3 linked regions of the Cricetulus griseus genome follow. The protein of the gene in region 1 interacts with the protein of each later gene in a pairwise test. Links are inferred from orthologs where the notes say so. Each region holds a gene or a part of one and is shown in the gene's direction. Other genes may lie near its edges.

Evidence for each region.
Region 2: the proteins of Fxr2 (region 1) and Paics interact in binary tests that used the Homo sapiens proteins (3 or more experiments, as listed by UniProt). The link is inferred for Cricetulus griseus from reciprocal best matches to the Homo sapiens genes FXR2 and PAICS.
Region 3: the proteins of Fxr2 (region 1) and Pts interact in binary tests that used the Homo sapiens proteins (3 or more experiments, as listed by UniProt). The two-hybrid records come from large-scale screens. The link is inferred for Cricetulus griseus from reciprocal best matches to the Homo sapiens genes FXR2 and PTS.

What each region holds. Positions count from the first base shown.
Region 1 is NC_048600.1:83,475,130-83,479,568, forward strand, and holds the start of Fxr2 (fragile X mental retardation syndrome-related protein 2), read left to right. Parts: upstream 1-1,545; 5' UTR 1,546-1,901; coding exon 1,902-1,982; intron 1,983-4,439. UniProt on the Homo sapiens protein: mRNA-binding protein that acts as a regulator of mRNAs translation and/or stability, and which is required for adult hippocampal neurogenesis. Specifically binds to AU-rich elements (AREs) in the 3'-UTR of target mRNAs.
Region 2 is NW_023276807.1:143,382,158-143,386,134, forward strand, and holds the end of Paics (multifunctional protein ADE2), read left to right. Parts: intron 1-382; coding exon 383-647; intron 648-884; exon of another isoform or gene 885-2,177; coding exon 2,178-2,336; exon of another isoform or gene 2,337-2,360; intron 2,361-2,614; coding exon 2,615-2,781; 3' UTR 2,782-3,386; downstream 3,387-3,977. UniProt on the Homo sapiens protein: Bifunctional phosphoribosylaminoimidazole carboxylase and phosphoribosylaminoimidazole succinocarboxamide synthetase catalyzing two reactions of the de novo purine biosynthetic pathway.
Region 3 is NC_048597.1:162,277,533-162,280,176, reverse strand, and holds the end of Pts (6-pyruvoyl tetrahydrobiopterin synthase), read left to right. Parts: intron 1-780; coding exon 781-851; intron 852-1,037; coding exon 1,038-1,161; 3' UTR 1,162-2,053; downstream 2,054-2,644. UniProt on the Homo sapiens protein: Involved in the biosynthesis of tetrahydrobiopterin, an essential cofactor of aromatic amino acid hydroxylases. Catalyzes the transformation of 7,8-dihydroneopterin triphosphate into 6-pyruvoyl tetrahydropterin.

The sequences.
Region 1 (4,439 bases):
CTTTTATGTATGAGTATTTTGTCTCCATGTATGTATGTGAGCCACATGTGTGCCTGGTGCCTACAGAGGTCATAATGAGTGTCCAGTCTCCTAGAACTAGAATTACAGAGAACCGGGGTTCAATTCCCAGCACCCACGTGGCAGCTCACAACTGTCTGTAATTCCAGTTCCAGAGGACCTCACACCCATGGCAAAATACAAATGCATATAAAATAAAAATTAATAAAATTTAAAAAAAGAATTACAAGTGTTTGTGAGCTGCTATGTGGGTACCAAGAACCAAACTCAGGTCCTCTGGAAGAGCAGCAAGTGTTCTTGACCACTGAGCCATCTCTCTAGCTTCTTTTAGTAGGGTATTTATTTATTTTCTAGACAGGTTTTCTCTGTGTGGCTTTGGAGCCTGTCCTGAAACTAGCTCTTGTAGACCAGGCTGGTCTTAAACTCACAGAGATCCTCCTGTCTCTGCCTCCCAAGTGCTGGGATTAAAGGCGTGCACCATTGCCGGGCTAGTAGGGGTTTTTGGATTAATTACAATTTTTTTTTAAGCCGGAAAGTGGTGGCCCACTACAGAGCGAGTTCCAGGACAGCCAAGGCTACACAGAGAAGTCCTGAGGGTGAACATGAGTGATGTCACACATGTGATGGTCAGAAGACAACTTGCTGGAGGTGGGGGTAGCTCCAGGAATTGACCCCAGTCGTTAGGCTTTATAGTTGAGCATCTTCAAGGACCGATTTTGTTTTGTTTTGTTTGAGAATTTTTCCTGTCTTGAATTTCCTTAGCATTTATGTATCAAATCATGTTGCATTTTCTTTTCGATATGGGCTTGAATTTACTAGAATCAACTTAAGGCAAGCAGGGCAATGACAGGCATTTCTGTAATTTTTGCACTTGGGAGGTATCAGGAATTCAAGGTCACTCCCCAACTGCTTAGTGAGTTCGTGGTCAGCCTAGGATACAGGAGACCCAGTCTCACCAAACTTAAGAAAATCCACTCCAGCCAAGAACCGTGACTCTTGAATCTCCTACAGATGCAGAGAGTCAACACATGCGCATGGACACCAAAACCCGGGGCGCGTGCGCACCGGACACTTTTTGCCTTCGGGCTCCCCCCCACCCCTGCCCGCACTTTGGAGTGTGCGCACCAAGAAAGACAAAGGTGGTGAAAGTGACCAAGCAGTCATTCCGGCGCATGCCCATCCCTAAATTGCTCCGGCTCTGTGGGGCTCACTTGGTGGAGGCGGAAGTCCAATCCGACGGAGCGGGCGCGGCCCCTCCCTTCTCGTGATTGGTTTGCTCACAGTGTTGTGGGGCGGGGAAAGGAAGGGACAGGGATAGTGGAAGGCTGGGGAGCTGGAGATAGAGCGTTCATCTGGTTCTGCGCAAGCGCAGAGGAGCGACCAGGAGGGGGCGTGAGAGAGTAGAAGAGAATGTGGAAGCCCTGACGCGCTGGCGAGCCGGAGCTGGGTCGCTAGCCTGGACGCCTGCGCCTTGGCCCTCGGGCTCCGCGCGCGGCGGGCGGGTGCCCTGTGCGCCTGCGCAGTAGGCGGCGGCGGCGGCGGCAGGGGAGGTGGAGGCCGTGGAGCGGCAGCGGCAGCAGCGGGTCCCGGACTGAGGCAGCAGCGGGGGGCGCCGGCGGGCGGAAGCTGAGGTGACGAAGGCGACGGCGGCGGCCGTTTCTCTCACGGTGGCGGAGACCAAGGCAGTGGCGGACGGGGAGCGGCCCGGCCCCGGCCCCCTGCTCGTCGGCTGTAGCAGGGCCGCCGTGGGGCCGGCCCGACTCCCGCCCCCCGCGGCTCCCCCTCCAGCTCCTCCTCCTGGGAGACGCCGGGGGCCCGGCCCGGCCCGCACTCAGAGCTCTGCCTCCGCTGCTGCCGCGGCAGTCGGAGGTGGTGGCGGCGCCATGGGCGGCCTGGCCTCTGGGGGGGATGTGGAGCCGGGACTGCCCGTCGAGGTGCGGGGCTCCAACGGGGCCTTCTACAAGGTGAGACGGTGCGTCGACCCGGGACACCCTCCTTAGCCCCCTCCCCCAGCCGGAGCAGGGAAGAGTGGAGCGGGCTCGAGTTTCTGGAGCTCGGTCCTGACCCTTAGAACCTCGACCCACGCTCCCACTCGACACCCTCTCGGGGAGACCGTGGGAGTTAACCCTCGTGCTTTTTTCTTTTTGAGCCCGCTGTTACACCTGCTTTCATCCTCAGCTGAAAGCATGAACATCAGGTCATTACTGCGCGTGGATGGGCGCTCCTGGTCCCTCCGGAGAAACCCCTTTACTCAGCTTCTAATTGACTTTTCTTGTTTCTTAGTGGAGGAGCTACTTCAGCTCCTAATCACATCCTTTCCACGGCACAAGCACATGGGAGAGTCTTTCTTTTCCTACATAACCCTCTTGGGAAGGCCCACTGTCCCATATTAGGTCTTCGGTCTTCAGGGAGGTTTCTGCCTACTGGCTCTAAACCATTTACTCAACTTTCATCTTATATTGTAGGTCTCCATCTAAGAAGAAATGATCAAAACCCACGTGTGTTATTTAGCATCTTTGGCCTCAGGCTTTATCAGCCATAAAAGTGGTCTTGTTGGACAAGTCTGTCACCCCACCACACCTTTATCCCGAAACCAGCTACCCAGAGATGGATTCGTGTTTCTCTCTTAGACTACAGCTACATTTAGGTCATTCCTGTGTTTTCTTAAGTTTAGGCTTCCTTAAAAGGGTGTCTCAGCAAGCTTCTTTTCTGTCCTTATTCTAACAGATTTCTACTTGTTGACAGTCTTTTCTGGAAAGAGAAAGTATCTTTCAGAATTGCTAATTTCAGCATTTCTTTGCCCAAGATTTGATTCCTTTGAAGTGTTTTGGGGGGTGGGGTTGTAACATGTCCTAGCCCAGGCTAAACTCCTACCTCAGCCTTTCAAATTCTGTGACTATATTACAGCCTCGATCTATCAGACCAGACCGGCCTTTTGTTTTTTCCTTCTTTCTATTCATACATCCATCCGACTCTCTGCATCTGGGCTCCCCCTCCCCTCCAGTTTAGATTAAGAGTGACTCTTCTTGCTCCACAACTGTTTTCCTTTATCTGGTAGGTGGAATTCTGAACCTCTTTTGAGGTTTTTTGTTTTTGTTTTTTGTACCCCAAGACAGGGTTTCTCTGTGTAACCTTGGCTGTCCTGTGCTCTGTAGACCAGGCTGGCCTCAAGCTCATAGCCTCTGCCCCCAGCACCGCCCAACTGTTGACTTTTATGTGTGGAATTGTCCTAGAAACTTTTGATCCACCCCTTACTCTTTACTCTGAAGAGGGATTTTCATAGCATCAGGTAAGTTAGAGGAGCTGCCTCACTTGAGTTCTCAGGTCCATTCCCCTTCCCCAGGAGACCTTTCTGCTTTCTCATGCCCTTGGAAACTACTTTCTCTGACTACTATGAAATTGTATCTTTTGTAGCTGAAGAAGGACTTGTGCTTGCCCTTGTAGATGGTTTCTGCCCCCACTTGACTGATAAGTTGGATTTTACTCACTATAAATGCCATGCCAGTTTTGCCTGCCTTTTCTGATTAAGTTCTTTACCCTTTATTCAGTGCATATGGGTGTACATATCTATTAGTCTCAGCGTATCCTCTCAATTAAATCTTGGGCTGTTCATCTTGATATATATATTTAATTTTATGTACAATGGTGTATTGCTTGCATGTATGTCTGTGTGAGGGTGTCAGATCCCCTGGAACTGCAGTTACAGACAGTTGTGAGCTGTCATGTGGGTGCTGGGAATTGAATCAGGGTCTTCTGGAAGAGCAGCCAGTGCTCTTACTGTGGAGCCATCTCTCCAGCCCTTAACTTGATGTTTCTGTATTCCTGTGTAATCTTCACTGATGTCCATCTATTCTTTGTATAGCTGAAGAAAGCTCCCAGCTGATCTCTGACACTATCACTTTCCTTGCTAACTCTTGGTACTTTTTCTTCTGACTGGAAGAATATCTTGATAACATTTGTTTTCTGTGGCAAAAGTCTCAAATTCCTATCAGGTTCTGTAGGACACACACACACACTTTTTTTTTTTTTTTTTTTTTGCGACCGGGTTTCTCTGTGTAGCCCTGGCTTTCCTGGAACTCATTGTGTAGATGTAGACTGGGCTGGCCTACACTCACTGGGATGGTTCAGCTTCTGTTGACTAGGGGATTAAAAGCATCCACAACCACGCCCAATTTGGAAAATGATTGTTAAATTGAGTATGAGATCAAGATAAGATACTTTTGTTCTAGAAAGCATGGGAGCCTTGCACAGCTGAGAAGGATTAGTGCTGAGTTCAAATTAACTGTATGAAATGGTTGGGAAGGGTGTGTTTTCTGTTACATATGTGAGTATCCAGTATCAAACAGATAGTCTCTGGATTTTTTTCATTTTTACCTGTGGGCCATAGCAGTGACAGATTTGAGTGAAGGGGGCCAGATTCT
Region 2 (3,977 bases), on another chromosome or scaffold:
GTGGTAAGGAATACTTTTAACCTACAAAGCAGGCTTTTTTATGTCACCTTCAGATTCTTAAACAGCAAAGGGACAACTGTCCTTGTTTGTCTAATCTTCACAATACCAAGACTAAGGGACGGAAATGGGATTCTACATACCAAGTCTTAATTAAGGCTTTTAACTCAACTACTTGTAATTGCTAAGGAAGAAAGCATTTGACCTGGAATGAAAAGCGAAACTTTGCTGCTGAACTTTTTCATTGAAAAAACATTTCTCCATCAACGGGCATTTTCAGATATATCTCATTATGTAAACTTGTCATAAGCTCTACTTAAAGAAAGGAAGGAAGGGTTTTTAAGCTAGCAAGAGAAAATTATTTTGTAAATTTCTATCTTTCTAGTCTTACCGTGACCTCAAGGAAGTAACTCCGGAAGGACTGCAGATGGTAAAGAAGAACTTTGAGTGGGTTGCAGATCGAGTGGAGTTACTCCTGAAGTCAGATAGTCAGTGCAGGGTTGTAGTGCTGATGGGTTCCACTTCTGACCTTGGTCACTGTGAGAAAATTAAAAAGGCTTGTGGAAACTTCGGGATTCCATGTGAACTTCGAGTAACATCTGCCCATAAAGGACCGGATGAAACTTTGAGGATTAAAGCAGAGTATGAAGGTAAACTTAATAAATAAATGGACAACTTCAGCTATTTCTGATTTGGGTAAAATATTTTAAAGTACATATGTTTTGGATAATAATGTTTTAAAGAGGCTTTCCATATTTCGGAGGAAAGTCATGTGGAATGCCTATACTTTTACACTTATCCCCAGGGATAATGTCTGACATCCTATCCCTCTTTGTGTACCTCATGCATGTGATGCCCATAAACTCATGCAGGCACACATACTTGTAATTTTTTTGAATCTTTAAAAAAAAAAAAAAAAAAAGGCTCATTGATTAAGAGGAGCACTCACAGCCATCTAGCTCCAGTCCAGGGGAATCCATCAACTTCTTCTGGCCTCCAGGAGCACTGCACACCACACCCATGCATAGACATGGAGGCAAAACAGCCATACACATAAAATAGAAGGATGTGTGGTCTCCTTGTCTTATTAACAGTGCCCCTTGAGCACTGTTGCTGGCTTATTCCAAAAGAAAAGAATCCCTTACCCCAACTGTGGGATGCCTAAGGCTAAAGCAGCAGGGCCTCTCTGGTATCTTTGTCAGTTTTCTTGAAAGAAAATAAGAAATAAAGCTATAGTTTCAGGAGTTAATACATTAAGTAAATGATAGGATATCGTTGGTACAAGAAAACTTAACAGAAGTGTAGTTAACAATGGGAGGAGGGCTTCCGGTCCTTTAATAAGCTAATGAAGGCTTGGATTCTTTCTCCAGAAAGGCAGACTAAGTTGTAATAAGAAATTCAGGATTCAGTATCCAGCACCACATAAAACCAGGACCTGTAGTCCTAACAGGTGGGAAGGTCGGGTTTGCTGTAATTCAAGCTGAGCCTGGGCTAGAGTAACACTGTATTAAATATACAAACTTCCTAAACTTTTGAGATATAGAGATGTACTTTTGCTGTTGGTTTTTGATACTGCTAATGATGGGCCTTTCAACTCAAGCATCCTAAGCCCTTTAACTTTGGGTGCTTTTACTACATGTACTCCAGCACCCAAATACTGAATACTGGAAGTAGCCACGAGAATTTTAATCACTATTAAATGAGTCTACTGGCACCCTCTGGAAGGACAACTCATCATAAAAGATAGCTGTTCAGCTGGTGAGGTTCTTCATGCTGCTGAGTCTAAGCAGCAATATCAGAAGGAAGCTGTGAACCAGCCATTTCCTTACCAACTTCAGGACATTCTCTTTATACTGTAGATCTCAAAAATGGCCATTCCTATGCTACTTAGGTTATTATTAACTGTACAGCTAGGTATGCTTTTTCTATAGCAGACTACTAAAGGATTTGAGTTCATTTTGTATTTTACATTTATTTTTATAGTATATGTGGAGGTTAGAGAACAGCTTGCAAGAGTCAATTCTTTGCCACTATATGGGTTCTAGAGGTCAAACAGGTCACCAGACTTGGCAACAGTTCCCCTTACCCACTGAGCCATCTAACATGCCCCCCCCCTTTTTTTGTTCCTGCTGTTATTGTCAACAAAACAAAAGGACCTGGTTATCTTGTAATTTCCCTAGGCGATGGCATACCTACTGTATTTGTCGCAGTGGCTGGCAGAAGCAATGGTTTGGGCCCAGTGATGTCTGGTAATACTGCATATCCGGTTATCAGCTGTCCCCCCATCACACCAGACTGGGGTGCTCAGGATGTGTGGTCATCCCTTCGACTGCCCAGTGGTAAGATCTTGAAAATTTTCAGTACTGGGAGTATACACAAAATTTCAAGATGCAATCTTAATGTCTCTACCAGCCTCATCTTCTAATATTTAATTACACATTTTAGCCACAGCCTACTAATTTTAAATCAGACGTTATATTTTTGAATTATTGTGTATTTTTTGCTTAATATGCATCTCTTAAGAAGTAAAGACTTGGCTTTATTATCATCTTTTGTTTTTTTATTTCTTTTTAAGCTACTAACTCATTTATTTGTCCTTTCTATTCTGAACCAATAGGTCTTGGCTGTTCAACTATACTTTCTCCAGAAGGATCCGCCCAGTTTGCTGCTCAGATATTTGGGTTATACAACCATTTGGTATGGGCCAAACTTCGAGCAAGCATTCTTAACACATGGATATCTTTAAAGCAAGCTGACAAGAAAATCAGAGAATGCAATTTATAAAAAAAAAAAAAAAAAGTAATTTTTAGGAGAAAAGTTACACATTCCTAGTTTGAATTAAAAAGAAAGAATTTAAGCAAAATGATTTCACATCAGAGAAAACAATTCAGTTTACTGTTGAACAAAATGGTCCTCTATATTTTAGGGGTTGACAAGTTGTCAGTGAGTATTTGTTATTAATATTTTCTAGTTCTGAATAATGATGTGTTCCTGTAACCTCAGCACACCAGAGGCTGAGGCAGAAAAACTATGTGTTGAGACCCTGTATTGAAATAAAAAAATCTTTATAGTTAGTAAAAATTAGTATGACACTGTTCAATTATATTATCAATCACTACATGATCCTTGTTGGGCAGTTAATGTAACATTAGCAAAGAAATGTCTTTTATGGAGCTGGAGCTGTCTTTCTGGTTTAAGAACCAATGTGGCTCTCTTGCAGAGGACCAGAGAATTTGGTTCCCATCATCCATGTGGAGTGACTCATAATCACCTGTAACTTCTAATTATTTCTAAATGCTAATAATGATTTTTTTGTAAATCAGTAGCTACTGGTTGGTCTTCTGTGGATCATGATTTGAAAATTAAAATATTTCTGTTTATGCTAATAACTATTCTCACTGCATGGTCTGTATGTTCTAAGTCCTTATCTAAGAAAGTACATAGCTACATGAATCTCCAGCTAAGGTATGTGTTTGTGCTTTGTTGGGTTTGTTTTTATGGTGGTGAGGAAACCCTAGGTCCTTACACTTGGTAGGCAAGCACTACCTCTGAGTTACATCTTTACCCATGTTTGCTTGGGGGGTTTTGTTTTGTTTTTAAAGAAATTGAGAATAGGGGTAGAAGAAACACATAAAGTGGAAGTGATGGAAAGGGCTCCTTCCTGAGGTGTTTGTGTATTAGGACAATTCTTGAAAAAAAGTAGTCTCCTTCCCATTCCAATAAAAGACTACGTAAATTATGGCTTAGCCATTTAACTAGGTTTTATGGTAGGTGCCTCTGTGGGCCATAAACTTTGATTTTCTAGTAAAACATTTTGGACACAACTGCAGTCAAAGGAGTGAGTGGATGTAGTGGCTAGTTGTTGGTTTTGCTAGTGAATAGCTGGACAGAGGGCCTAGCCACATTCACTTCTGTAACACCTGACATTACTGAAAAGTCAAATGCTATGTTTCATGAAGCTTAGTTATAGATTCCATCAC
Region 3 (2,644 bases), on another chromosome or scaffold:
AGAGTGAAGTTAGAGTCCTGTAGAAACTGCAGTGGAGAAGTTGGGGCCAGAATTGGGGTCCAAGATAGAGTAAAGATATTTATTTTCTTGGTATTCACATCTCTTCATTTGATTTATTTTTAAAAATCAAGTGGTTTAGAAGTTGATTTAGGAATCACTCTTTTTGTATGACTCCAGTTCTGTTTAAGAAAACGAGTTATTAGGTACCTTCAGACCAGGTAGGAAATTAGTTTGTTTCACATATGCTTAAACTTTTGTAGAAGAGCTAATGATAAAAATTTGGAAAGAATAAGGCAATTACAATCTTTACTAATGACAAGAAGAAACATTATGTCAATATATGTAAACATCAGGGAGTGATAGGGAAATGTTTTTTTTTTTTTCTTCTAAGACAGAAGCTTATTGTTAAATTATTCTTTGGGACAGAAATTTAGAGAATGTCCATCATTTTAGATCAGGCCTTAATGGCACAGGGTACTGTATAAAAGAGTTTCTAGTAACTTTTTAGAAGTGCTAACCTGAACTGTGTGTGAATCACAAGGGCTCTGTTTCTAGGAAGTCCCAGGAACTCTGTTTTTGTGGTTTCTTCCCTCTGCATCAGGAGCAAGAATACACAGTCATTACAGGGAGCTGGGCCTAACTTTGTTTCACAGCATTGTCGGACTGCTTCCCAATGTTGAGTCTTGACTAAATGAGAGAGTGAGACTCTGAGACTTGAGGGAAGGAACCCTTTGTTGCTGAGTTATAAACACTCAGTGGTGTCCTCTCTCCTGTCTGTAGGAGGCCATCATGAAGCCACTTGATCACAAGAACCTGGATCTGGATGTGCCCTACTTTGCAGGTGTTGTAAGGTGTGTGTCACTGTCTCTCCTTGAGCAGGAGAAATGAAACAAGTTAACATTCTATGTGATTATCATGTTATTTCTAAAATATTGATGCAGTGGTAGATGTTACTGGAATTCCTGTTTTCTCTATATATGAAAATGAAATTTTGTTCATTATTTGTATTTTGAACTTCTTTCCTTTTTTTTCTTCAGCACAACAGAAAATGTAGCTGTCTATATCTGGGAAAGCCTCCAGAAACTTCTTCCTACAGGAGTTCTTTACAAAGTAAAAGTTTATGAAACTGACAACAACATTGTAGTATATAAGGGAGAATAGAGATTAGGGTTAATATTAGAGAAAGGCTTAATTGCTTTTAAAAAAGCTCTTTGTCCCTTTAGAATATCCAGCAGTCACCACATACTTGTGTTTCCACGTTGTACTCTAGAATGTCTGAGTGTTAAAATAACTGTAAGATCCACATCTAAATGTATTTAAAAATCAAACTTACAGCATATCCTGAATTTATTTTTGGTGAGGGAGCAGGGGAGAGCTGAGGATTGAAGCCAGGGCCTCACACATGCTAAGCATACCACACTGCATTCCAGTCCTCTCTGTGCCACTGAGAGTATCGTTTTTGTCCAGAGATTAAAAATTATTTCATTCTCAACAAAATATTTTTGTGTGGAATCATGTAAAGGAAAAATAAACACATTTCATAGTATGTATTCTCTGTTATCTATTTCATTTTAGCATTTGTTTTTTTTCTTAGTATAATATAAATAATAAAAATGTTTATGCAATTTATAGTATGTGAACCTTAGGAAAAAATTTTAGAGGGGCATAAAGTCTGGAGACTATATTTCTTTTTAAAGATTTAGTTATTTTTACTTGCATGTGTAATGATATGTACAGTTTATTTTTCATGATATATATAGCTTATTTTGGTCTCATGGCCCATTTGCAATTTATTTGTATAGCAATTTTAAACAAATAACTCAATTTTTTTCAATTTAAACTTCTGTAAGTAAAATGAGAAAAATGTCTACATGGTATTTGTAAGACCTGAAAGACAAAGTACCTTTCAAAGTAATAGCAGCAATCCTGCCTTTCAAGTAATCAATACAAAATACTGCACATGAATAAAACTTTAACAACTAGAGCATACTAAAATTTAACTAAGTGGGCATTGCATTGTCAAAATTTATAATAAAAGTCCTTTATTTATTCCCCATGGGTCTGTTTTTTTGCAGGTGTTCCTGGAATCATAATCAGTGTATAAGCATACTCAGTGTTCATTAGATGGCAATATTCTGAGAATCTAGTATATTCTAGTTGTGATGTGAAGAGAAATACAAAGCCTTATATTTAAGAAGTTTATAATACAAACTGAACACAATATAACAGCTATTTGTGCAGAGCAAGCAAGTTCATTCTTGAGAATTCAGTCATAATGATAGTGAAGAACACTAGGTATATAGTTCAACTTATATGGGTTAATTTAGTGATCAGAGCAAAGCAGGATCAGTCAGGAGAAGTGTACCTTACTGAGTAGCATAGGTCTTTTGTGTTGACTTATGTGGTTACTATGCAGTCTTCTAAGTTAAAATTATGCAGGTGTCCATGACATCTGGAATTCCACACATATATTAACAAGTAGTTTACTGATATCAATGGTATATTTGATGTGTTCCACAGTAGCAGCTCACATTTCAATAAGCAGGTTGAGCCTGTAGTGGATACTATAGTGGATAATGCATGTGAAGGCAGCATCTCCATCAGTCTTGGTATACACTGTCAATATATGTACCAATCTTTGCCT